Linked DNA regions of Astyanax mexicanus. The protein of the gene in region 1 interacts with the protein of each later gene in a biochemical or structural test. Links are inferred from orthologs where the notes say so. Each region holds a gene or a part of one and is shown on either strand. Other genes may lie near its edges. The genes, in order: gab1 and grap2a.

Region 1 (12,261 bases):
AAAGTGATGAGGCGGTAAAGAGCCCAAAGTTTTAAAAAACATAGTGGCTTATATTTTGCAATAACTCAAAAATCAACACATTTTCTAGGGATGTCTCAACCCATTTTTTTTGGACAATGCTGATCCGACCTTTTAGTATCTATAAACAATACATCCACGCAGTTTAGATAAGATAAATAGTGATTAACATTGAAGTAAAATAACTTTTAGTGATTATTTTAAGCAATAGTTTATGTGTATAATTAAGAGTTTAATGTGACAGTCTGGACTGTTTGTTTAGTAACAAACTTTTCTTAAAAATTACAATTTTATAATGTGTTTAATATCTAATAATTTAATCTGACTAAATATTAAAACATGCCTTGATCGGTCCTAGTCAGAATCAGGACATCTCCAACAATTACATGCATATAAGCAGTAAACAGTAGTTTAGTTCACCTAGTCATGGTGAAGTTATAATCAGTGGCATCTTTTTCACTGAAGGGTCGGACAGCCGTTCTTGTGATTTCATTTTCCTCTCAGAAACAGAGCTTACAAACCAGACTGAACCCAGTTTTCTAAGCATGGTTAGCTTATCATGTCATGCCATATCATAATTACAGTGGATAAAAGAAATCCAATAAAAAAACAACGCTTGTGCCTACAAGAGGTCAGCAGCATATTTGGCTGAGGCTTGACAGCAGGGTGAGCCACGAGTGATTTCATTACAGATTAAAAAGGAGGTATATTACATCCTGCAACTTATGGAGGACCGTTGACCCGTTCAGTGTTATTAAACAGATGTTTCTAAGCATCTAACCGTCTTCTCACTGCTAAAACAGTGGCATAACCACTCAGAAGTTCAACTTCTGCTTTTAATACTTCAAAGCTGGAGTCTTTTGTAACACAGCTGACATTTTCCCAGAACAAGCATAAATAGTGCACTGCTGACGCTGAAGATTTCAACCATTTCTCCTGACGCTGGACTATTTATGCCCCTTTTAATGGAAGATCTTAGTTTTGATATGCTTTCTTTTAGCATGAGGTTTGCCCTACTCTACCACCAAGCAAGCCCACTGAGTCCGTAAAGTATTATAGTAATAAAAATAATAATAACATTTAGACATTCATGCAGTTTAACAAATTGTTCTATTAGTTAAATACATTTTCCCTCAATGTAAAACACTGTTCCTTCAATACAGAAATCAAATTTAAAAATCGGTTTAAACATCAATTTCATCAATTGAATAAACAGCTTTTCTCAGTGTACATATTGCTAAAATAATGGAACGGATTGCTAAATTGAAGGAACAGATTATAAAATTAAGGGAATATATTGCTAAACCAACTGAACAATTTGCTAAACTGATGAAACGAATTGCTAAACCGAAGGATCGGATTGCTAAACTGATGGAACAAATTGCTAAACCGAAGTAACAGTTTGCTAATCCGTAGGAACAGATTATTAAATTGAGGGAAAAGATTGCTAAAACGAGGGAATGGATTGCTAAATTGAAGAAACAGATTGCTAAACCAAGAGTGGATTGCTGGGGCACCGAGTGGTCCAGCGGTCTAAAGCTATGAGCAGGAGGTCGAAGGTTCGAGCCCCCACTCATGCAGCTTTGCCATCAAGTTGCCAAGAGCTCAGAGGGAGCAAAATTTAGATCGCTAAATTGAAGGAACAGATTTTGAAATTGAGGGAATAGATTGCTAAACCGAAGGAACGGATTATAAAATTAAGGGAATAGATTGCTAAACTTATTAAACAAATTGCTAAACAGAAGGATCGATTTGCTAAACCGAAGGAACAGTTTGCTAAACCGAAGGAACATATTGCTAAACCCAAAAGAACAGATTGCTAAACTGAAGGAATGGATTGCTAAATTGAAGGAACAGATTATAAAATTGGGGGAATAGGTTGCTAAACCGAAGAAACAGATTGCTAAACCGAAGGAGTGGATGCCTAAATTAAAGGAACATATTTTAAAATTAAGGGAATAGATTGTTAAACCGAAGAAACAGATTGCTAAATTGAAGGAACAGATTTTAAAATTAAGGGAATAGATTGTTAAACCGAAGAAACAGATTGCTAAACCAAAGGAACAGATTATAAAATTGAGGGAATAGATTGCTAAACCGAAGGAATGGATTGCTAAACCGATGGAACGGATTCTTAATCTGAGAGACCAGATTTTTAAAGTAAGGTTTTTTTTTTTGTTTTTTTGTTTTTTCTACCTGGATATATCAGGGGCACTCTACAAGTCAAATGTGCTCTTTTAAAGCAAGAATAAGACAAATACACCAGCTTTTACCACAAACAGAGAGTCTAGCCTACATGAGGAGGAGGTGTGGGTAGAAATGAAGGCATGACTGCACGAAATATAGACTTTAGTGTCACACTAATTGTGTGTTTGGATGCTGTGAGTGTTGTGAGTGAGTGAGGGAGGAGAAAACAGCAGCACATGCTAAAAAAAAAAATACTGAAACATCTAGCTAAAATATTGACAAGTAAACATGTCAGCACACACCCAGGACAGGTTTAGGGGAATGTAGCAGAAGTTAACCTGGTGCCAGATTCACTAATTTCCCCTCTCAGGTAGCTGGTTGAGCTCGTTTTCACGAAAGAGCAGGCTTTATCTGCTCTAGCTGTTAGAAAGCAGGTTATTTGCATGGGTACTGGCTTTGTGGTCAGCCCCCACAGACCACAGCACATTTGAATAAAACTGAGATTTACTTACATAACGCCGTAACTTCTTCTCTGGTGGAGACTTTCTGAGCCAGCCGGAGCACACCACATCCCCCCCACTCATTTTGTTGCTGCAGAAAGCTTCCCCTTTCTGTCCCTCGAAGAGATCTGGGACGCAGATTGAGCTGAAAAAAGGAGAAACACAGTGGTGGGTGAAGGGTCAGTGTAATGTTTATCAGTTCAATTTCCTGATCATATGAGATTCCCTAGAAAATAGGAAATTGTGTGTAAAATGTATTTTTTTTGTTCATTTAGTATAGTGAAGAAGAAATTCTTCTTCTGATTTTTTTTTCCATTGTGTACAAATGTCTGGATTATACTGTAGCTGGGAGGTTGGGGACTGCAACGCAGACAATAGTCACAGTATCATGATATCATAGTTATTGGGGTACACATAGCAAAAACTTTAAAATGAATGAACATTAGGGATGCACAATGATATAAGAATTATATCAGTATTACTGTATGCCGGAAAAAGACCAAGTGAACCTGACTGCACTACTACAAACTAAAATCCATTAATTTAAGCTAATTTGTATTTATTCATTTTTTTTACATTTCATCACCTCAGTTGATCAAACCATTTGATTCTACCCCTTTAGGATAATGTCAGAAGTGTATGCCTAAGCAAAATGTGACATATTGTTGCAATTTTAATAGCTTTCCAAGATGGAGCTACCTTCACTGAAATTTACTTCTTACGAATAAACATAAATTATAATGCAAAAGAAATATGCAAAGAAAACAAGTTGATATTTATAAAATTAAGAGTTTAGAAATAAATATTTGTTGGAATAAGCCTGTTTTTAATTACAGTTTTTTTATGCATCTTGGCGTGTTCTCCTCAATCAGTCTTACACACTGCTTTTGGATAACTTTATGCCTTTACTCCTGGTCCAAAAAGTCAAGCAGTTCAGCTGGGTTTGATGGCTTGTGACCAAAATGTGTTCTCAATGGGGTAAAATTAAAGAAATTCAATATTTTTAAGTGGTCTCTTGCTTTTCCCCCCCCAGAGCTGTATATATAGGACTATATGATTGTTTATGGTTGATTCTAACGTTACTGCTCATTTTTAAATAGTCATAACAACTGATGAAAAAGGTCTCTTGGCTTTAGTGTTAGCTGAATAACTTAAACTGAATTAAAATTAGTTTATGAGGCGATTATTTTAGGAACGTATCGATGTGTGATATCGGGTATCGGTATCCCAGAATTTTCACATCAGTACACCTTTAACCCAATTTCTTCTCTTTACCAAACTAAGTTAGCTAACCTAGCTAGCTAGAAAAATGGAAATTAGCTGCATAGCTTATAAAGTTGTACAGTCTCAAACAACATAAACATAGGTAGTTTGTTTATTTTTTCTGGTCATATGGTCAAAAAACGGACCTAGTAACACCTAATAAACGATATCCTCGTGGTTTATAAGCAGTGTAGAAAGTTTAGAGGGGAATAAGAGAGAAAAACAGGGCAGAAAATACCGTCAGTGCTGAGCTTCTCCCAGCGTCTCCTCCTCCTCCAGCAGCTCAGCCACAACAGCCAAAACTCTCAGCTACCAACTCCTTCCTCTCGCTGGGAAGACTCAAATCCGCGTTAAAACACAGAATAAATCCAGAACATACGCGTGGAAATAAACTCCAGGCTTAATTACCGAGAAAAATCCGCACTTTTCGCCTCCAAACACACGAACACTCCTCCGCCTGCTTAATCCAGCAACTTCTCCCGGGCTGTTCCAGCTCTCCCGGGCTGTTCCAGCTCTCCCTCTCTTTCTCTCTTAAAAACTACACATTTCCACACATTCCCGCCGCTTTTCCTCTCTTCTCCAGCACATTTCAGCCGCCCAGACTCTCTCCGTCCGCAGTTTGAGCAGAAAATCCTCCTTTTCCGTCGTGTTTTCCCTCCCCGCTCCGCTCCCGGGTGACTGACAGCCGATAACCGCCGATACTTTTCCCCTAAACTCGCCTCGAACTCCAGCGAGAGCGCGAGCGAACGAGCGAACGAGCGCGCGAGAGAGAGAGAGAGAGAGAGAGCGAGACAGGGAGAGAGAGAGAGAGAAGGGAAGCAATGCACCATGGGAAATGTAGTCTTTAAGCGATAGACAATACACAATACACGCAGTACAATACACGTTTTAACTCAACTAAACAAAAAATGTGAAACGTTATTTTATATTTATTTATCTTTAGATAACAATGCAACAATCACTGACGAAAAAAGAACTGAAAAAAATATTAAAACCAGGTGATTTTTGAGAAGCGTTTTCATCATTCCCGTGTAAACTACACTTACCAGAATCCATCTTGTACATGAATCCTAGTAGGTAAATTGATTTTTTAAAATTTGCATTATTTATTATTAATATTTTAATGGCTATATTTATAAAAGTTAACGTTTACGTCTAATATTATTAAATCTACTAACTTACTATATGTGTGGATGTTTAAGATATATTAGGTGTTTTGTGTGAAGACAAATGCTAAGAGGGACAGTAGTTCACACTAATTCACTCTAACAAAAAAAAACATTCATATATTTGTGTTTTGATAGAAAATCTTTAGTTTTTGTCCACTCAGATTCCTATGTCCAATCTATTTGTATAGTGTAGGGAGGAAAAATGCACATTTTCTATCTCCAGTATTTTTACACTTTTTCTCTTTTGTTGTATACATTGATATGTGTATATTTGTCGATTTGTAAATTATTGTGTGTATATGCTTGCACTTTTTGTATTAAGTGAGATATTTTTATTTATAGTTGATGGTATTATTATAGTCAATACTGTAATTTTCAATATATGGTTTACTGCTCTCTTTTCTGCAGCATTTAAAATGCACATTCACTCTTTTTTTATAAAAACTAGAAAAAGACACAGATACACATAGAACTCTGTAACTATAAAAAGTAGAAGTCTTTATTTAGAGAATTTACAGATGAAGCCAGAGAGCGGTGAATACTGTTTCCTACACCTTTAAAAGACACCTTTAAAAGACTCCTGGAGAAACTGGAGAAAATGGGTACAGTAAGAGTCAGGTCTAGCTGACCCACATGGCAACCGCGCCTTTAACACAGCTTAATATTGGACTAAGTCTCAGTTTCAGCAGTGAGGAGAAGAGAACAATAGGGGTGTTCTAAAACTTTTGACCTTTTTTTCATAGGACCTTCCTCCTTCTGTATATGTTTATGAATATTTTGTGTATATTTACTACATTTCCTGTTTTATTTAGTATGTTTACTCCTGTTTATTTGTGTAAGCCTGCTGCAGAGTAGTTACCCTAAGCCTCACCACAAGCAAACAATGCATGTATGTCCTGACATATTGTGCAAATAACAAATAAACACTGAATCTTGAAACACAAAACACTAAATCCACTATGCTATGCATGCTTTTATATCCATATACACTATACAGAGTACTGAAATACATAACTGTGCTAATTTTAGAGTCAATTGTGTATAACGTGTTCCTGATCCTGTGCTGCACAGTCTCTTCCAGTGTTTTCCCTCCAGCTCTCTCTTCCCTCAGTCAGAGAGACTGGTATGGCAGGAATGCTGTTGTAATGGGAAACGCCTTCTCCAATCAGCTCCACTAACAAAGGCCTGCCTGCTCACACACACACACACACACACACACAGCTCCAGGAAAGCAGGCCGCTCTCTGAAGCTCTGAGCTGAGGAGCATTGCTCAGCAGATCCCTTTGTGTTTACGAATCTTTCAGTGCAGATTAGCTATTCATCATGTGGTAGACTGTGTTAGAACTAGAGTAGAGGATTTGCACACTTAATTTAGTTACATTTACATGTCTTTCGTTGAAGAAAGTGTGACCAAGTCTGCTCTGTTTGCAGATTCAGCAGATAGGCTTTAGTTAATGACATTAGCAGTGCAAATAACATAAGTTTACACTGTCTACTGGAACCAGTTCTACACATGCAATATTCATCAATATTTTCCTGTTTTCTTGTTTTTCAATTCAAATCAATATACGTTTATTGTCATTACACAGTGTAACAAAATTAAAATTAGGTAGAGAGTTTATACTTTTCTATAGAATGAAGCAACAAATATTGCAGATAAGGATAGAGACATTTCGGTCTCTGTGTGCTAAGAGAGTGTGTGTGAAGAGTGTCGAGAGTGTTGGGTGTGTGGTAGTGGGGGGTTGTGGGGGCTGAGGGGTTCAGCTCCGTCTCTGTGAGTTGAGGAGTCTGACTGCCTGGTAGATGAAGCTGTTGCAGAGTCTGGTAGTGGAGGCTCTGTGTGTTGAGGAGTCTGACTGCCTGGTGGATGAAGCTGTTGCAGAGTCTGGTAGTGGAGACTCTGTGTGTTGAGAAGTCTGACCGCCTGGTGGATGAAGCTGTTGCAGAGTCTGGTAGTGGAGGCTCTTTGTGTTGAGGAGTCTGACTGCCTGGTGGATGAAGCTGTTGCAGAGTCTGGTAGTGGAGGCTCTGTGTGTTGAGGAGTCTGACCGCCTAGTGGAAGAAGCTGTTGTAGACTCTGGTAAAGGAGGCTCTGTGTGTTGAGGAGTCTGGCTGCCTGGTGGAAGAAGCTGTTGTAGACTCTGGTAGTGGAGGCTCTGTGTGTTGAGGAGTCTGACTGCCTGGTGGATGCAGCTGTTGCAGAGTCTAGTAGTGGAGTCTCTGTGTGTTGAGTAGTCTGACTGCCTGGTGGAAGAAGCTGTTGCAGAGTCTGGTAGTGGAGGCTGTGTGTGTTGAGGAGTCTGACTGCCTGGTGGAAGAAGCTGTTGCAGAGTCTGGTAGTGGAGGCTCTGTGTGTTGCGGATTGGTGGGGTCGTTTTTGAATAGATTATTGAAATCAACCAAACTAAACACAGCTTTATAATAATGTAATATAACACTAACTCTAGTTGCTCTAATTTCTCTCTAGATACTTTATAAGGCATAAAATGAACAGGGAATAAGCCCAGCTTGAATGCACTTTGAAATAAGCAAAAAAATATATATGTTTTTACAAATTGCATCAATCTTTTACTTTTAAAAAATGAGGTAAATCTCATTTTTTCTGATATAGGTCTTTTAAGAGTTGTTTTTGATACAAAACAAGCTACAGACAGATCCTAAACTCACAGGAGAGAGATTGAATTAGAGCCTTTGCTTTGCTGAGTCCATTTCTGAGGGAAAGGTCCGGGGGTTCAAGCTTCTGCGAAAGATTAAAACATTTATGAGGGACGCATTAAATCCAGTGGCATTTTATACGGCATGCAGGGACGCGTACGCAGGAAAGAGCAGCCAATCTCAAACTGCTAGTGCTGCGCACTAAGACTGGCAGGGCATTAGCTGCATATTATGAAGGGCTATGTTATTTTGTCCTCATTACTCTTAGTTAGTGTACAGTTTAGTGTACAACTGTTCTGCTGCAGACTCACATTTAAAGTGACATTCTGTAAGTTTTTGTTTTACCTCTCTGGTGAGAATGAGTAATGGCACAGAGCATGAAAAAGAGCATGTTTAATGCAGATGTCAAAATGCGAAGACTTCCTTTGCTTCCTTCACTTTAAAATAAAGGAAACAGCTCAATGTAGGATATACAGTACATGCCTTTTAAATACCTAGAAGATGTTAAAATTCGAAAAGTACTGATATTTACTGAGTGACTATGTGATCAGTTGAGTTTGTGCACTTTTGGAGACACAACACAAGTAGAGTGTAAACTGTATAAGTTATCCCAGTATATGTATATATATGTATATATATATATATATATATATATATATATATATATATATATATATATACATATATATATATATATATATAAATATACTGATATTTACTGAGTGACTATTTGATCAGTTGAGTTTTTGCACTTTTGGAGACACAACACAAGTAGAGTGTAAACTGTATAAGTTATCCCAGTATATAAATATATATATATATATATATATATATATATATATATATATATATATATATATATATATATATATACAATTTTACATACAATTAGATTGTTGATTATACTGATTAATCATTGGATGCTTATTTCCAATGCAGTAATACTACTGCTTTAAATTTAATGCATATTAAACTATCTGATTATTAGTGCTCAACACTCATCTGAATTGCAATGCAATGCTTACAAGCCTTCCAGAGCATCCCTCACTATCTTTAATAAACTCCTGAAGACAGAGCTCTTCAAAGAGCACTTACTCTCCTAACACCTCTAACTAACTACCTTCTACTACCAGATCAGGAGAATCTCTCACTATCTTCAATAAACTCCTGAAGACTGAGCTCTTCAAAGAGCACTTACTCTCCTAACACCTCTAACACACTACTACTAACCTCATTTCCTTTTTCCTCGCCTTTCCTTCTCTATCTTACTATTGTCAAAAAATATTTTTACCTTGAACTTCTATGTTCTCTATTGCTAATTTACATCATTATTGTAAGTCACTTTGGACAAAAGCACCCGCTTAATTTAATGTAATGTAAAGTAATGTAATGTAATGAAGCCAATAGCAGATGTCTGTTATTATAACAGGCCCAAAAAGGGAGGAGGCACAGAAACAGCTTCAGATTTCTCACCACCTCCTACTTTCTCCCTCGGCTGGATTAATGTAGGTTAGTGGGAGTGGGCCAGAGTGTTGATGTGTCCTTGTGAAATGGCTGTGAGAAAACGCTTGGTTCTCGGTTGCTGAATAATTGAAAGCCATTGATTTTACCAAATGGTCTTGGAGGCAGCGCGAGTGGCGCTACTCCACAGCACACGTTGCAAAGCTAATGGGCTTTTGGGGGTGGATTTAAGAGCTAAAACGATGCCCACCCCTCCCTTTAAAAACCACAAGACTGGCTTCGGTGCATTATACATATGAGCATCTCCATTAAGAAATGCACCTTCAGAGCACTCAGCTTCTATTTAGAGCGAATGGGGAAGTTCCAGGCCCGAGCCTCGAGGCAGCGACACTGCACGCCGCTCTGCCCGCCTGGGCTAGGGTTCATCTCAGGACACAAGGGCAGTGACTCAATTAGAGAGATTGGCAGAGGGCAGACTGCTTCTCCAGGCTGCTTGATGCATATAAAAGGTCTTTATATATACACTATATGGACAAAAGGACACCTGCTCAGTAATTGTTTCTGTTGAAATTAAGCAATTTTAAAGAGTTCACCTTCTTTTGCTGGAGCAACTGTCTCTATTGTTCCAGAAAACCTTTCTTTCTGGTAGATTGTTCAAGTTCAACTGATGTAAGGGTTTAATTGTATTTGGTGACAAGACTATTAGTGAGGTTAGGATGTTGGATGATCACTATCCTGCCTCATTCCCAACTCCCCAACTCCTCCATTCCAAAAGTACTAGATGGATCAGTCTAGAGAACACTTTATCCCCTCTCCCCTCTTTATTCTTTTGAAAATTGTCCTTACAGTGACTAGATAAGCAGTGTGTGTTTTTACATTTGTACCAGGACTGTTTTAAGGCATTTGGGGGCCCCAAGCAGAATTGAATTGAGTTTTGGTGTGCTGTTTCCATGATTTGAAAGTGAAACTAATGTCAGTTAATCAGTAGCTTTATCCATTCAAGTGTTAAAGACAATGATGTTAAAGCAGGTGTGCATAGATACTGCTAAACATGTTCCAGTCTGGTTGTATGCTACTGTCAGCAATTAGTGGGAGGGGCCCCTTGAGTTGGATTCTGATAACAGTGTGGTTGTAATTTTCTGCATTGACCAGAACAGAATTTACAGAACAGAACTCTTCAATTCATAACCAGTTTCAATTCTGAAAGAGCTCTATACAGCAACGCTGACACTGATAATAACATTTGATTCCTATCGTCACTGTCCGATGAAAAACAAGTATCTCCATTTTTGTTAATTTTTAGATTACTACATATTTTTTAACAAACCAATTGTCCCTTGTACTGTGTTAAAATTGGTTGATATATGGACCAATAGAATTTCTTCAAAATTACCTGAAATAAACTTTTTACATGGACTTCCATTAAAAGTTAAGGTTTTCTCTCTCTCTCTTCTGTATAGTTGTAGATGTTTTGGAGATACTTGTTTTTCAGTGGACAGTGACAATATGAATCAGTGTTATCCTTGCTGTATGGAGCTCTTTCAGAGCACACTCAGTGCTGGTCCTGAACTCCAGGATTGAGAACCGCTGGTTCAAGCAAAAGCTTCTGCTACATGAAAAAGGAACAAATATCAAAATTGAATTTCTCTTCCTTTATTCTGAAGCAAATCCCATTTGTTATGAACCCAGACTGCTGAAATTACACAGGGCTATCTGAGGTTAAGAAAAAAATAGCTTTGCTTTCCACACGTCCTCACCACAATTACCCCAAACATTTCAGTTATCCAGGTCCCAGAGCTCCACAGCTGGATGCACTATACCCACTGGTGGTGGTGGATAATGACAGTCTTTTCAAGCTCAAGCCATAAGCAATATCATTTAAAACACTACAGAAAACCTTAAACAATGAATTCTGAACAGTAGCTGCTTCACATCTTAACAGTTCTGACCCGTTTATTGTTTATTTGAGTGGCAACTCAGCGAGTTAAAGCAAAAATTAACTTATGGATTCTTATATTCATCTTATATCTGAATAAGACAAGAATCAGGTTGCAGGAGATGCTCCATTAGATGCTCTGAATAATTAGCAGCACAGTAGAAAAGTGTTACAGTCAGTTATCCATATGTATCCATATTTATAAAGCAGCTCACAGCAAAATCAGTCCCACTTTATTTCATATTAGACCTTCATTAGGATGAAAAAGGCAAAAAAAAAAAAAAAAGAAACACACCCACTGCAGCACTCTTACTTTGGCAAGTCTGATAAATTAATTGACATTATGGCCCACTGTCTGCATGATAAGTCAGACAAAGTCCATTAGAAGCACTTTAAAATCATATATACTGTGCATATACCCCTGTACATACTGTGTAATGAATCAGACATTGCTTCTTGGTGAAGGTTTTCTATTGTTAATCAAATATTAACACTGTACAGCAAGCACAAGGCTTATGTTTCTTGTTTAATCCAGTCAAATCATCCTGTAAAACCTTTAACTGTGTATCAAAAGGCACACAAAAATCTTAGATCTTAAAACCAGAGGGAAGAAAAAAAAACACTCCCTGAAATAATTTAATTCAAACAAATAATATAATATAAAAACAGCAATATTTTTATATTTGTAATAAATCACCTCAAAAACAAGAAAAAAAATCAATCAGTTCAAATTTTCAGCATGCATTTTTTTTCAGTTCTTTCAAGTTTTTTTTGTCAAAAAAATCTATTCACAACAGTGAATACAGTGGGAACTAAATTCAGTATTGCATCCTTATGTGTAAATTTATTGCATCGCCATGTCAAATGACATATCTGTGGGCATGTCACTAGATTCAACCAATCAGAGCAGAGGACAAACCATGTTAAATAAACAACCTGGGCAATAAACATTTGTTCACGTACATATAAGGAGTATGAATGAGAAATGTGATGTGATGCAAAAAGGTGTTTGAATGTTTTTAGGGAAAATTCAGAAATTGATTCTATAGTAAATCACCACTTAAACAAGTAG
Region 2 (12,919 bases), on another chromosome or scaffold:
TCTCTATCAAGGCCAGCTGCATCATCAGACCTCTCCCTGATTTAAAATGTGTGGGCGATATTGGACACACTACATATCCATACATGTTCATATCTACAACATGAATGTTTAAGCTTTATGGGATAAATTATTGCAGGACATCATTAGGAACCTCTGTAACTCTCCATGCTGAGATTTCTGGTATGTTATGTTACACTTATTAATAACTATTGCCCATATCGGTCAGTTTAATCATATTGTTCCTGGTAACTTTTATTTTCCTTACAAATAGCACCGCAATTCAACACGTCTTTCTGGGTGCAGCTACATGGGTTGGACAATAAAACTGAAACACCTGGTTTTAGACGACAATAATTTATTCTCTCAACAGACAGTTCTGGTGGAAACAGGAGAGTTGAGGTGCACATTGAATTCTGACGTGATTTGATCAGCCGTGGTTTTATGTTTTTTGGATACAATCCGGGTTAGCACCCGAACATCCCTTTCAGACAGCTTCCTCTTACAGCATCCACAGTTAATCCTGTTGGATGTGGTTGGTCCTTCTTGCTGGTATGCTGACATTACCCTGGATACCGTGGCTCTTGATACATCACAAAGACTTGCTGTCTTGGTCACAGATGCTCCAGCAAGACGTGCACCAACAATTTGTCCTCTTTTGAACTCTGGTATGTCACCCATAATGTTGTGTGCATTGCAATATTTTGAGCAGAACTGTGCTCTTACCCTGCTAATTGAACCTTCACACTCTGCTCTTACTGGTGCAATAATGTGCAATTAATGAAGATTGAACACCAGGCTGCTCCAATTTAGCCATGAAACCTCCCACACTAAAATGACAGGTGTTTCAGTTTCATTGTCCAACTCCTGTATTTTTTAATGATAAGAGTTTAATCTTTTATTTTAGAAAATAATTTTCAAACCATATCCGTTACATCCTAAATATGCAAAACAAAAAATAAGAAGATTTTTTATTTTTTTTGCCAACAGTCCCATATCAGTAAGTGGGCCACAGACCACTGGGTTGAAAACCACTGGCATGAGTTATATAACAGATTTTGATCTCCTCCTGTCTCTCGTATGGTTTTCAGTATCAGTTTCCTCATCAGATTTTGTCATTCTCGTTCTCAGGTTCATGTTATTTTCATTCATGGTCACTTTCGCTTCTGGAGAATCTCCTTATTTTCTGGTTTTGATGGTCACTTTCATTTTCATTGATTAAAACAAAGTAGTCTAAAAATCAAGCTTGACAAGCTCTTGAGATGACGGCAGTATGTGGACAGGCATTGTCTTGTTGAAATAGTGCACTGAAGTTTGTATTTAAAAAAGGTAGGAGGGCTACTGGTTGCAGGACCTTATTAATGTACCACTAGGCTGTCAAAGTGTAACGAAAACTAAGCATGATCTGCAGTTGTGCAAAACTGCACCTCACACCATTACACCAGGTTTTCTAGATGTGTAGGACATGACACAATATAGTTTTGATTAATACATCCATTGCGCCGTCAAAATTACTACTACACTTAAAAAAAAAATGATGCGTAAAATTGACTTAAAAAAAAGGTTTTGCAACTTCCTGCATTTGCTTTTTTTAAGTAAGTTTAATTTTAGATAAATTTAAGTAACTTCAACTCAGTTTCAATACTTAAATGTTAGACAGAGTAAATAAGTGAACTAAACTTCAGTCAATCCTTACTTTAATTAAACTTCATTTATTTTTGCAAAATCAATTCTTTCTTTTAGCAAACTTTACTTCATTTCTGCATACAATAGTACCTAATTACAACTACTTAAAGTATACAATATTATTGTACATAATTTTAGTTAAAACACACATTCAAATATTTACATAATCTCAAAGATTTATTTTGTAAACAGACCAAGTCTCACCGTCTCCACACATGGATGGCATGTAATACATTTTTAGTATACTTTATATATTTTTAGTATACTAAAAATAATGTATTACATGCCATCCATGTGTGGAGACGGTGAGACTTGGTCTGTTTACAAAATAAATCTTTGAGATTATGTAAATATTTGAATGTGTGTTTTAACTAAAATTATGTATAATAATATTGTATACTTTAAGTAATTGTAATTAGGTAATATTGTATGCAGAAATGAAGTAAAGTTTGCTAAAAGAAAGGATTGACTGAAGTTCAGTTCACTTATTTACTCTGTGTGACATTTAAGTCTTGAAACCGAGTTAAAGTTGCTTAAATTTACATGAAATTAAATTATATAAAGGATCCTTCAGTTTGGAACAGTCTTTTATGATGTAGTGGCCAAAGAAATGCAGCCTAACTTGGCTCCAGCCTAGACTTTGGAACACAGTCTTTAGAGTCCAACAGTATATGGTCGAGCATTGTCCTGTTGGAATAGTGCATTGAAGTGTGTACTCAGAAAAGGTAGAGCCACAAGCAGCAAATATCTCCATTTATTAAAGGACCCAGTCAGGGCTGGACTGGGGAAAAAAATCGGACCTGGCGTTTTTGGTTTTGACCGGCCCCTTATAATTAGCGTAGCACAACCAACTTGTAATTTATGTATGTGGTGTTACAGAGAAGCATAACGTATCATTAGCATATTAAATATCCATTAAATATTTTTTTCTGCTGTGTGTAGTGCAATTGATTTTTTATCCTTCTTATTGAAATCATCTCTAATATGTATTTTTTTTTTAAATAAACAGATCTTAATATTTTTTTTTTTTTTTAAAGTCAACCTGAAATTTAAATCTGACCTTGTGTACCTCGTTAATTCCTGCCCCGGTCCTATTAATCACAGCTCATCATGTTCTCTCATTTAAAAGTCAAAACCATGTTTTCCTCCAACCTTTTCATTTGACTTTTGGAGCACATAGGGCACCTTATCCCATCCTTTCACTTAACAACTAACAGAAAGTGCTGAGCTCTCTTAAAGACACCCTGATACTCAGAAATGAATCATGGTATAGAACAGAAACCAGACGACCACTGTGGTTCCTTATTCATATTCACTTAGAAAGAAGAATTTCACAGATTTTCCTTATGAAGCCTGACTCTGCAATCTAACACAGGCTTTTTAAGCTGGTGCACTGTAAGCCTGGATAAGTTGAGTTTACTTAAAAAAAATTAGGAAACTGGTTGCCTTAACCCTTGTGTGGTGTTCATATTTTTGTTACTCGTTTACTTTGTTACTTGTATTTAATTCAGCAAAATTAAGCAATTTTACATTAAAATGCTTTACATATGCTCGCTTCACCTAAATTGCAAGCAATATAAACAGCTTACATGGTTAATATTTGCCCTTTACCTTTCTTATGTTACATTTCTTTTCAATTTCTTTTTATTAGTTTTTTAATAAAATGTAAAAGAAAATGAATTAAACTCAAGATATAAGTAGAAAATTTGTTTAGTTTCAAATTTACAAATGAAGCAATGTTTATTAACCCTTGGCCAAACATACTGTATGTAATATAAATGTGTAGGGGGGGGGGGGGTGGGGGTGTACAGTGTGTGTTTATCGAAAATGTGTTTTGATATATGTTTTTCACAAAACATGAGCCAATGAGTTTGAGTTAGAAAAAATATTTTTTTAGTATCATTTGATGAAAAATAAAAACACCACACAAGGGTTAATAATTAGTTAAGTAATGGGGAATGAAAACTTAAGTTAGCATAACTCAAAACATTAAGTTATTACAACTTTTTTATTTTAGTTATACTGTAAGACCGGATAAGTTCAGTTTACTTCACTTTTTAAGGCTTGCTTCTAAGGTTTGTCAATTTGTTTTTTTTAAGCAATGGGGGATGAAAACTTGAGTTAACTTAAATAAAAAATCAAGTTATTACCACTAAAGGGGAAGTTCATTTATTTCTAAGGAAGCCCAGGGGATGGAATCACTACACACTGATGGTGAGTGTTTTGTCGGAAACTGTTGGACACACCCAGTATGCAAATAGATTGTGACAGAAGCCAATGGAAAAGAAGCTGCCAATAGCAACAGACTAAGCTCAGATATGATACAGTCATATGAAAAAGTTTGGGCACCCCTATTAATCTTAATCATTTTTAGTTGTAAATATTTGGGTGTTTGCAACAGCCATTTCAGTTTGATATATCTAACAACTGATGGACACAGTAATATTTCAGGATTGAAATGAGGTTTATTGTACTAACAGAAAATGTGCAGTAAAAAAAAAAGTGGTCTCAATACAGTGCACTTTGCACAAGGAGAAGCTGTATGGGAGAGTGATGCGAAAGAAGCCATTTCTGCAAGCACGCCACAAACAGAGTCGCCTGAGGTATGCAAAAGCAAAAGCAAAAGCACACCTCAGGCGACTAAAAATGATTAAGATTAATAGGGGTGTCCAAACTTTTTCATATGACTGTAAGTTGGTTCAACTCAAATATCTCAGTTTGAATAGTACAGTATATGTGCTCTCAAACATTCAACTAACTCAAAATAGTTGAGTATTGTTTAGAAATCTCCAATTTTATGTAAAACAGACTTAAATCATTTGAGTTCAAACAGCTTATGGGTTTACAGTGTATACAGTTTGGAAACACCTTAAATTTAAGGGATCTGTAGATCAATACTAACTTCATCCAAACTATGAAGAGAAACATATGGAATTATTTAATTAACAAAAAAGGAAATATTTTATATTTTAGATAGCTTACTCCGGCTTACTACAATGGCAGTTTTGCACATCTTGGTATTTTCTCAGTTAGCTTCATGAGGTATAGAGTCACCTGGAATATCTTAATTTTTTTGCTCTCCTAATGTGTTTAAGTGCATCAGCTGTAAAGTTGTGAAGAGGTAGATTTGGTGAATAATACAGTGAATAGCTCTATTTGAGTAATGTTATTAAAAAATTAATGGCAGGAATTAATCAACTAAGTAAAGACTTTAAAAAATGACTTTAAGAAATGAAGGTCAGTCAGTTGCAGAGACCATCAAAAATGTTATGATGAAACTGGCTCTTATCAGGACCCCCCATCCCTGGAAAGGAAGAGCAAGAGTTTGCTCTGTTGCACAGGATTAGTTCATCAGTGAGTGAGTTACCAGCCTCAGAACCCACAAGTTAACAGCTCCCCAGATAAAAGAACCTAAATGCTAAATAGAGAGTATTTTGGTTTATTTAACACTTTTAACTTACTACATGATTCCATATGTGTTCCTTCATAGTCTGGATGATTTCAGTGTTCATTTACAAATTGAACATTAAGCATATTAAACCAATAGAAATATTGAATAATAAGGTGTGTCCAAACTTTTGACTGGTACTGTATATGAACAGTTAATTTGCAAAAACAGATAGAAGCCATTTTTTTAAGCATACAGTACAGGCCAAAAGTTTGGACACACCTTCTCTTTTTCAGTGCGTTTTCTTTATTTTCATGACTATTTACATTGTAGATTCTCACTGAAGCATCAAAACTATGAATGAACACATGTGGAGTTTTATGTACTTAACAAAAAAAAGTTATTTTCTAGTTTCTTCAAAATAGCCACCCTTTGCTCTGATTACTGCTTTGTACACTCTTGGCATCATTCTCTCAATGAGCTTCAAGAGGTGGCCAGAGGTTCCCAGAGGTGTTTATTAGCACTTGTTGCCCCTTTGCCTTCTTCACTCTGTGCTCCAGCTCACCCCAAACCATCTGGATTGGGTTCAGGTCCGAGGACTGTGGAGGACAGCTCATTTTTTTTTATTATTTGTTAAGTACATAAAACTCCACATGTGTTCATTCATAGTTTTGATTCCTTCAGTGAGAATCTACAATGTAAATAGTTAGAAAATAAAGAAAATGCATTCAATGAGAAGGTGTGTCCAAACTTTTGGCCTGTACTGTACCTTTAATTATTTATTTATTTATTTATTTACAATTCATATACTCTTTGCTATCTAACACCCCGTCAACAGTCTATTTTCCCACCAATAAAATAGCGTCTGAGCTTAGGAACAAATCTACACTGATGGTGTGGTGTGATAGTCTGGAAGTGAGTTGTGTTCAGGAAAATGTATAGCTTGTTGCTATTTGGATGGCAGAAAACATAGGAGCGCCACTGACTGAAATGAACCTAGACAACAGTCAATCATCAGAGTCCATTCCTATACAAGCCCGCTCACTAAACACACACACAGAGACGCAGTGCAGAGCTCAAACCTGACTTTTAACTCAACGATAAACAGAATAAAGTATAAAATAATATTGCTGTTCTCTTAAATGCGTGAAAAAAAGCATGAACATGCAGATCAGTATCCCCTGCTGAGACGCAAAAAGTGCTGTGCTGTTAAGATACGAACGTGCCAAAGTCAGAGCTCACCTGCCTCTTAAAGGTAATGGTAAGTGTCATATTGATTGGTTTATTTCACGTTAAGCTTAAAATACACACATGATTGGTTAAGAGAATTAGTACACACATTTTTTGCACCCTCACAATACCAAAGACAAACTGACACGCCCCTAAATCCAGCTGCGTGATCCGCAATTGACCAGTGTACTGTAGATCACTAAAATAGGGCACTACATCTGTATATGTACTACAATAAATTTTGTCCATATCAGTGTAAATTGTTAATAATTTATCGCTTCTCATAACCTTTATTTTTCTTTTGAATAAAATTGCAATGTGACCCTTCCATGTGGGTGCAACTATTTTTTTGTTTGTGTAATTACTCTCAAATAAACAATAAGAGTTATTGCTTCTTTGTGTACGAGAAGTACATGCCTATCATATGACTGTTCTTTTATATATAGAGCTCTGAAAAAAGAGACCACCTAAAAATGATGATTCTCTTTGATTTTACCAAATTGAAAACCTCTGGAATATAATCAAGAGGGAGATGGATGATCACAAGCCATCAAACCACCAAGCTGAACTGCTTGAATTTTTGCATCAGGAGTGAGTAGCATAAAGTTATCCAAAAGCAGTGTGTAAGACTGGTGGAGGAGATCATGCCAGAATATGCCAATATGCATGAAAACTGAGATCAAAAACCAGGGTTATTCCACCAAATATTTATTATTTCTGGACTCTTAAAACTTTATGAATATGATCTTGTTTTCTTTGAATTGAAATGAAGTCTGAAAGCTCTGCATCTTTTTTGTTATTTCATCCATTTCCCATTTTCTGCAAATAAATGCTCTAAATGAGAATATTTCTATTTGTAATTTGGGAGAAATGTTGTCTGTAGTTTATAGAGTAAAGCAACAATGTTAATTTTACTCAAACATAAACCTGTAAATAGCAAAATCAGAGAAACTGATTCAGAAACTGAAGTGCTCTCTTAATTTTTTCCAGAGCTGTAACACTTCTTAAGTGATATCAGCACTACAATAGTAAATCATAGGGCTTTTTTTTTTGTTTGTTTTAATTTATTGTTAATTTTATGTACAGTATCTTATACCATGTGAAAGCCCCTACTGCACTGTAAACCATGTGAACATTTCATCATGAACAGAATTAGCATCACATATAACAACAACCGAAACTCACAAACCACAAAAGACCCCCAAACCCTGCAGTGAATCGATACATATATATATGAACGGTATATTTAGACGGTGGCAGAATGCTTTTATGAAAATAGCCGTAGCACGTATTGAGTCTGATGTATAAGCAGGCACTGAAAGTTGATGTTGGACGGTGAGATAAGTTGAATGGTTTGCTTGTTCTGCCTCTCACTTCTGCATTTTGGCTCTGGGGTTGAATACCGTGTCCTGGAAGGAAGCTAAACTCAACAGCACTGACATTTGAGGAAGGAGGCTGCTGCTGGCTGGAGAGGAGCTACGCAAAAAAAAAAAAACAAGGCTCGGATTGCTCTGCGAACCCAAAAACACCAGGGTAGGTTCTGTATCTCTTTCCTGCAAGGTGACGAACTGTGTTTTTTTTTTTGGGAGTTTTATTGTTAGCAATGAAAAACAAGTAAAATGTTCATTTACAGTGAACATACTTGGCTGAATTGAGTAATATAACATCAGAGTTAGTTGTGCAGTTGAAGTTGTGCCATGAGTAAGGTTTTTCTTAGTGAAATTTGGGTCACACTTTACTTGGATGGTCCATCTTACAGCCTTGTTGATGCTCAACTGACATTCAACTAACACTGAATTGAATGTCCTTTAAATTGAACTTAACCCTATGTTAAATGTAAATCATTCAAAATAGAACTTAACCCTACATCTAACCCTAACCTTAACCCTTAATCAACCCTAAAATCTAACCCTACACCTAACCCTAACCTTAACCCTTAATCAACCCTAAAATCTAACCCTACACCTAACCCTAACCATTAATAAACCCCTTAAAATCTAACCCTACACCTAACCCTAACCATTAATAAACCCCTTAAAATCTAACCCTACACCTAACCCTAACCTTAACCCTTAATCAACCCTAAAATCTAACCCTACACCTAACCCTAACCTTAACCCTTAATCAACCCTAAAATCTAACCCTACACCTAACCCTAACCATTAATAAACCCCTTAAAATCTAACCCTACACCTAACCCTAACCATTAATAAACCCCTTAAAATCTAACCCTACACCTAACCCTAACCTTAACCCTTAATCAACCCTAAAATCTAACCCTACACCTAACCCTAACCATTAATAAACCCCTTAAAATCTAACCCTACACCTAACCCTAACCATTAATAAACCCCTTAAAATCTAACCCTACACCTAACCCTAACCATTAATAAACCCCTTAAAATCTAACCCTACACCTAACCCTAACCTTAACCCTTAATCAACCCTAAAATCTAACCATACACCTAACCCTAACCTTAACCTAAGCTTAAAATCTAACCCTACACCTAACCCTTACCTTAAGCCTTAATCAACCCTAAAATCGAACCCTACACCTAACCTTAAGCCTTGATCAACCCTAAAATCTAACCCTACACCTAACCCTAACCTTAACCCTTATTCAACCCTAAAATCTAACCCTACACCTAACCCTAACCCTACCCTTAACCTAAGCTTAAAATCTAACCCTAAACCCAATGCTAAAATATTGGATTAGAGCTGAATGTAGGGTTATATTTAATAGAGAATCATTTACTTTCCCCTTTTAGTTCATTTGCATTTAATAAACATGTAGTTGAATGTTAGTTAGGGCACAAAACAAATCCATGATTAATTGGCGTGACAACCCATGACAAGGCGTGAGGTGCAAGATGTATTTTTTTGTGCCCTCTCGATACCAAGGACACACAGACACACCCTAAATCCAGCTGCCTGATCCAAAATTAATCGGAGTCAGAGCTCAAAAGTCTTAGCTTTTTTTTTTTTTACATTACATCAGCACCTTTAACAATTTTATTTTGCAAGGTCTGTGTTTAAAGTAGACTTAATTTTAAAAAACTGATTAATGACACTTTTTTTAACTCTTTTGGATTACCTTCTGCTGAATAAAAGCACGTATAGCAGTTTGGGAACTACAAGGTTGGAGCAATATTCAAAAATGTCAAGAAATGTCAGACTACCTCAGAACTGTCTGCAAGGCCTCAGTTTCCACGTGTTCAAATAAATAGTGCCAGATCAGGAGATGGCTAAACTGTAAGAATATCATTTAATTTTCGTTAGCTAATTCCTCAGTTTGTGATGCTTGGTTAGGTTAAAATCTGAAAGACCAAGACTCAAACTCTCAGAGAATTTTCATTTAAAATAAATAAATCAAAAGTATACTGTCAAAATAAAAGAAAATCTATTTGTTATATATTATTTACTATACAATTCTTTAAAAACTAAATACGCTTTTAGATGATAAGTTTTAGCAGTTTCTGTAATTTTACATAAACATATTTTTGTTATGCTGATATGCCATCATCACTATTGAAGCAGTTACAATGCACAAGAACACTTTGCCCCAATAATCAAAAATAAATGTACAATAATAGTCATTTTTGGCAACAGGAAGTCCTAAAAATGTCTATAAAACATGTCTATAAAAGTGACTGGCACTCCTGATAACAGAAAATGCAGATTTCTTACATGTATTTTTATAAAAGTTTGAAATAAAATGACTAAATAGTTGCCAGTTTTCAGAGACAATGTCCGACACGGCTGCTGCCACAAAATTACAGTTTTATTTTGTATTTTTTAGCAGCATATTGCAGTCTATTGACACTTAAACTCCACCTAGCAGTGGCGTGCACAGACACTTTGGGGGGCAAGTGCTCAGGAGGGAAAAAGGGCACTTTTTAGCTCATGTGGAACACTTCATTAAAATAAAAGTTATCTATCATTGATTTGGGCTAGAGCGGCTAGTTTATCTGGTGACCAGTCGGTTAAAGATGCTTAGTAGTTTGGTGCTGTATGAGACATTTTACTGCACAACAAACTGATTTCACGTTGGGCTTAGAGGGCAAACGGTAGGATTTTACTTGATGTGTATGTTACCTGGCTGGTGGGACACGGAGGAGAAGAAGCTGTTGTTATCTGTTGCTGTGCGTACTGTGCTGAAGACTCGCTGAACTGAACTGCTGCTGCAGCGCATCTAGTGTGCCTTGCGCGCGACGGCCCGGGGTCACGTGACAGAGGAAGAGAGAGGTCGGGAGTGTGCGAGCTGATTTCAGGGCATTCTGTTTTCACTCGTTTTTAATCGCTCAGGTTTTCAAAAGATCATTTATTAAAAAGATCACTTAATAATATATATATATATATATATATATATTTTTTTTTTTTTTTTTTTTTTTTTTAAACAAAGTTTCAAAAGGACACTTTGGTTAATAAAGGGCAGAGTTGATGTCTATGTCTGCACGCCTCTGCCACCTAGTCAGTAAGTACACTGCACTGACACTTTCAAGGACAATTACATATTTAAAAACTAATCCTGTCACTTTACCCGCACAAAGATACATTATCACTTTATTGTGTTTATGCTTTTCATTCACACTTACGTATCCATGATGCTACAGCAAAACTTACACTCTGAACGTAATGTTGCTGCTACTTCTCTACTATATTTTATTCTATTCTATTCTATTTTATTTTATCTTTATATTTATCTATTTTAACAATTGCTCTTTGGGTGTAACTGGACCGTGAGAATACAATTTCGTTCCAAAGTGTTTTTTATGAACTGAACATGCAAACGTTTGCTTTTGGCCTCTTTTCTTTTTTGCTATTTTAATTATTTTATTTCAGAGATCGATTCATTTTTCTACTGACAGTAAAAGGTCATTGGATCAGGGGTCACTGAAACGTGTGCATGCTGCTGAATATCAGATTGCAGGTGTGAAGACCTGAGCAGTGTTGGTCAGGGTCAGGTTTTTATACCCAGAAAACTGGGTCAGAACATTTCTGGGGTGGGGTTCTGGAGTGTCCCTAGTCAGCAGTGGGTAATTTTTTGCCAAGAACGTTTGAGGAAAGACAAACCACAATCCAGAATCAGGGTGAGGTTTGGGTGCGCACACTTTAAACTCTTTAGTAGACAAGTGTAACTAAAGCTTTAAGCAAATCGTATTCGGTTTTTCAAATCGGATCTGTTTAGATGACAGAAAATGTCTGTATGGGTAGCTGTGGCTGGCTTCTTAAACCCCAACATCTCTGTATCTCACGCGGGCCAGACGAGACGTAGACATGCGCAGGTTTTTAATGTAAAGTTTATGAGCAAAATGGTAAAACTTTAATCAATCAATTACTCAATCAAGCGATCAACCTTTATTTTCACTCGGGAAAACATTGAGGGTGACCCTCATTTACAATGTTGCCGAGCGTTTACAGCATCAAAGAGATTGAAAACATTTAATAAGAAATTAAAAAAAATAAGGAATAAAATTGTAAAAAATAATAAATAAAATAAATACTCATTTTAAATCAACATTTAATATATATATATATATATATATATATATATATATATATTCATAAAATATATATGTAAAATAGAACATTCTAAAAGACCATAAAAAACTAAATTGACACATAAAATGTTAAGAATTTATAAAATACAAGAAATAAAAAAAAACTAAAGAATGATAAGAGATGATAAAATGAACAATAATGAAGTAACATAATATAAGAATCGAAATATAAAACATTAGAAAAAAATAAAGTAAAAACTAATAATAATTAAATTAAAATAAATAAAATACATAAAGAAAAATTAATAATAAGAAAAAGATAAACTAATAAAAATAATAATTTAAACAGTCACCACCAGGCTTTCTGGTGGTGTTTAGAAAAAAAAAGTTAAAAATTATTCAGTGACACCAGCGAGTTTAGTTTCAACATTTCTAGCTCACTGGTGCACTGTAGCTAAAAGCAAAAATTTTCCCAGTTCACTAAAAACTCTTGGTATGTGACAGGTGATCCAGCCACTGGAGTGAGTCTGATAATTACTGTTATTAATTGAGATTAGAGAAGATATATAAACTGGCAAATAGGCAGAAAGTGATTTCTAAATAAAAATTAGCCAATGAGATTCTCTGCGTGCAGTTAGTGAGGACCAACCAACTCTATTATATAGTGAGCAGTGGTGAGTAGTGTAAGGGTTGCCGGTAATAAATCTCAGAGCAGAATCTTAGGTAGATTGAGTCTAATGGTTTGAAAGCACTGGCAGACATTTTTTATGAATTACATCACCATAGTCCAGGACTGCTAGTATGGTTGCCTCCACTATTCTTTTCCTAGTGTGCACGGATAAACAGGATTAATTCTGATGAAGATAATCAAGCTTTGTGTGCACTTAATGGTGAGTTTGTTAGTATGGGATTTAAAAGAAAGTTTTTAATCAAGCCAGTGCTGAGACATTTATATTCACTGTCTTGTTTGATGCTGGATTCAGGGATGTCAGGGTAGTAATAGTTATGGAATTTGGTTTATTAGCATTTAAAACCAACTTGTGTTTTAATGGAGCAGTCTGTAGAGTGTTAAAAGAGCGTTGAAGCTTTTTTAAAGCAGTGTGTGCAGAATCTGCTG

Evidence for each region.
Region 2: the proteins of gab1 (region 1) and grap2a form a complex in vitro, tested with the Homo sapiens proteins (2 studies listed by BioGRID and IntAct, with this or other methods). The link is inferred for Astyanax mexicanus from reciprocal best matches to the Homo sapiens genes GAB1 and GRAP2.

The regions. Positions count from the first base shown.
Region 1 is NC_064414.1:48,869,138-48,881,398, reverse strand, and holds the start of gab1 (GRB2-associated-binding protein 1), read right to left. Parts: upstream 4,706-12,261; 5' UTR 4,207-4,705; intron 2,851-4,206; 5' UTR 2,790-2,850; coding exon 2,718-2,789; intron 1-2,717. UniProt on the Homo sapiens protein: Adapter protein that plays a role in intracellular signaling cascades triggered by activated receptor-type kinases. Plays a role in FGFR1 signaling. Probably involved in signaling by the epidermal growth factor receptor (EGFR) and the insulin receptor (INSR).
Region 2 is NC_064426.1:7,147,007-7,159,925, forward strand, and holds the start of grap2a (GRB2-related adapter protein 2a), read left to right. Parts: upstream 1-7,711; 5' UTR 7,712-7,834; intron 7,835-12,919. UniProt on the Homo sapiens protein: Interacts with SLP-76 to regulate NF-AT activation. Binds to tyrosine-phosphorylated shc.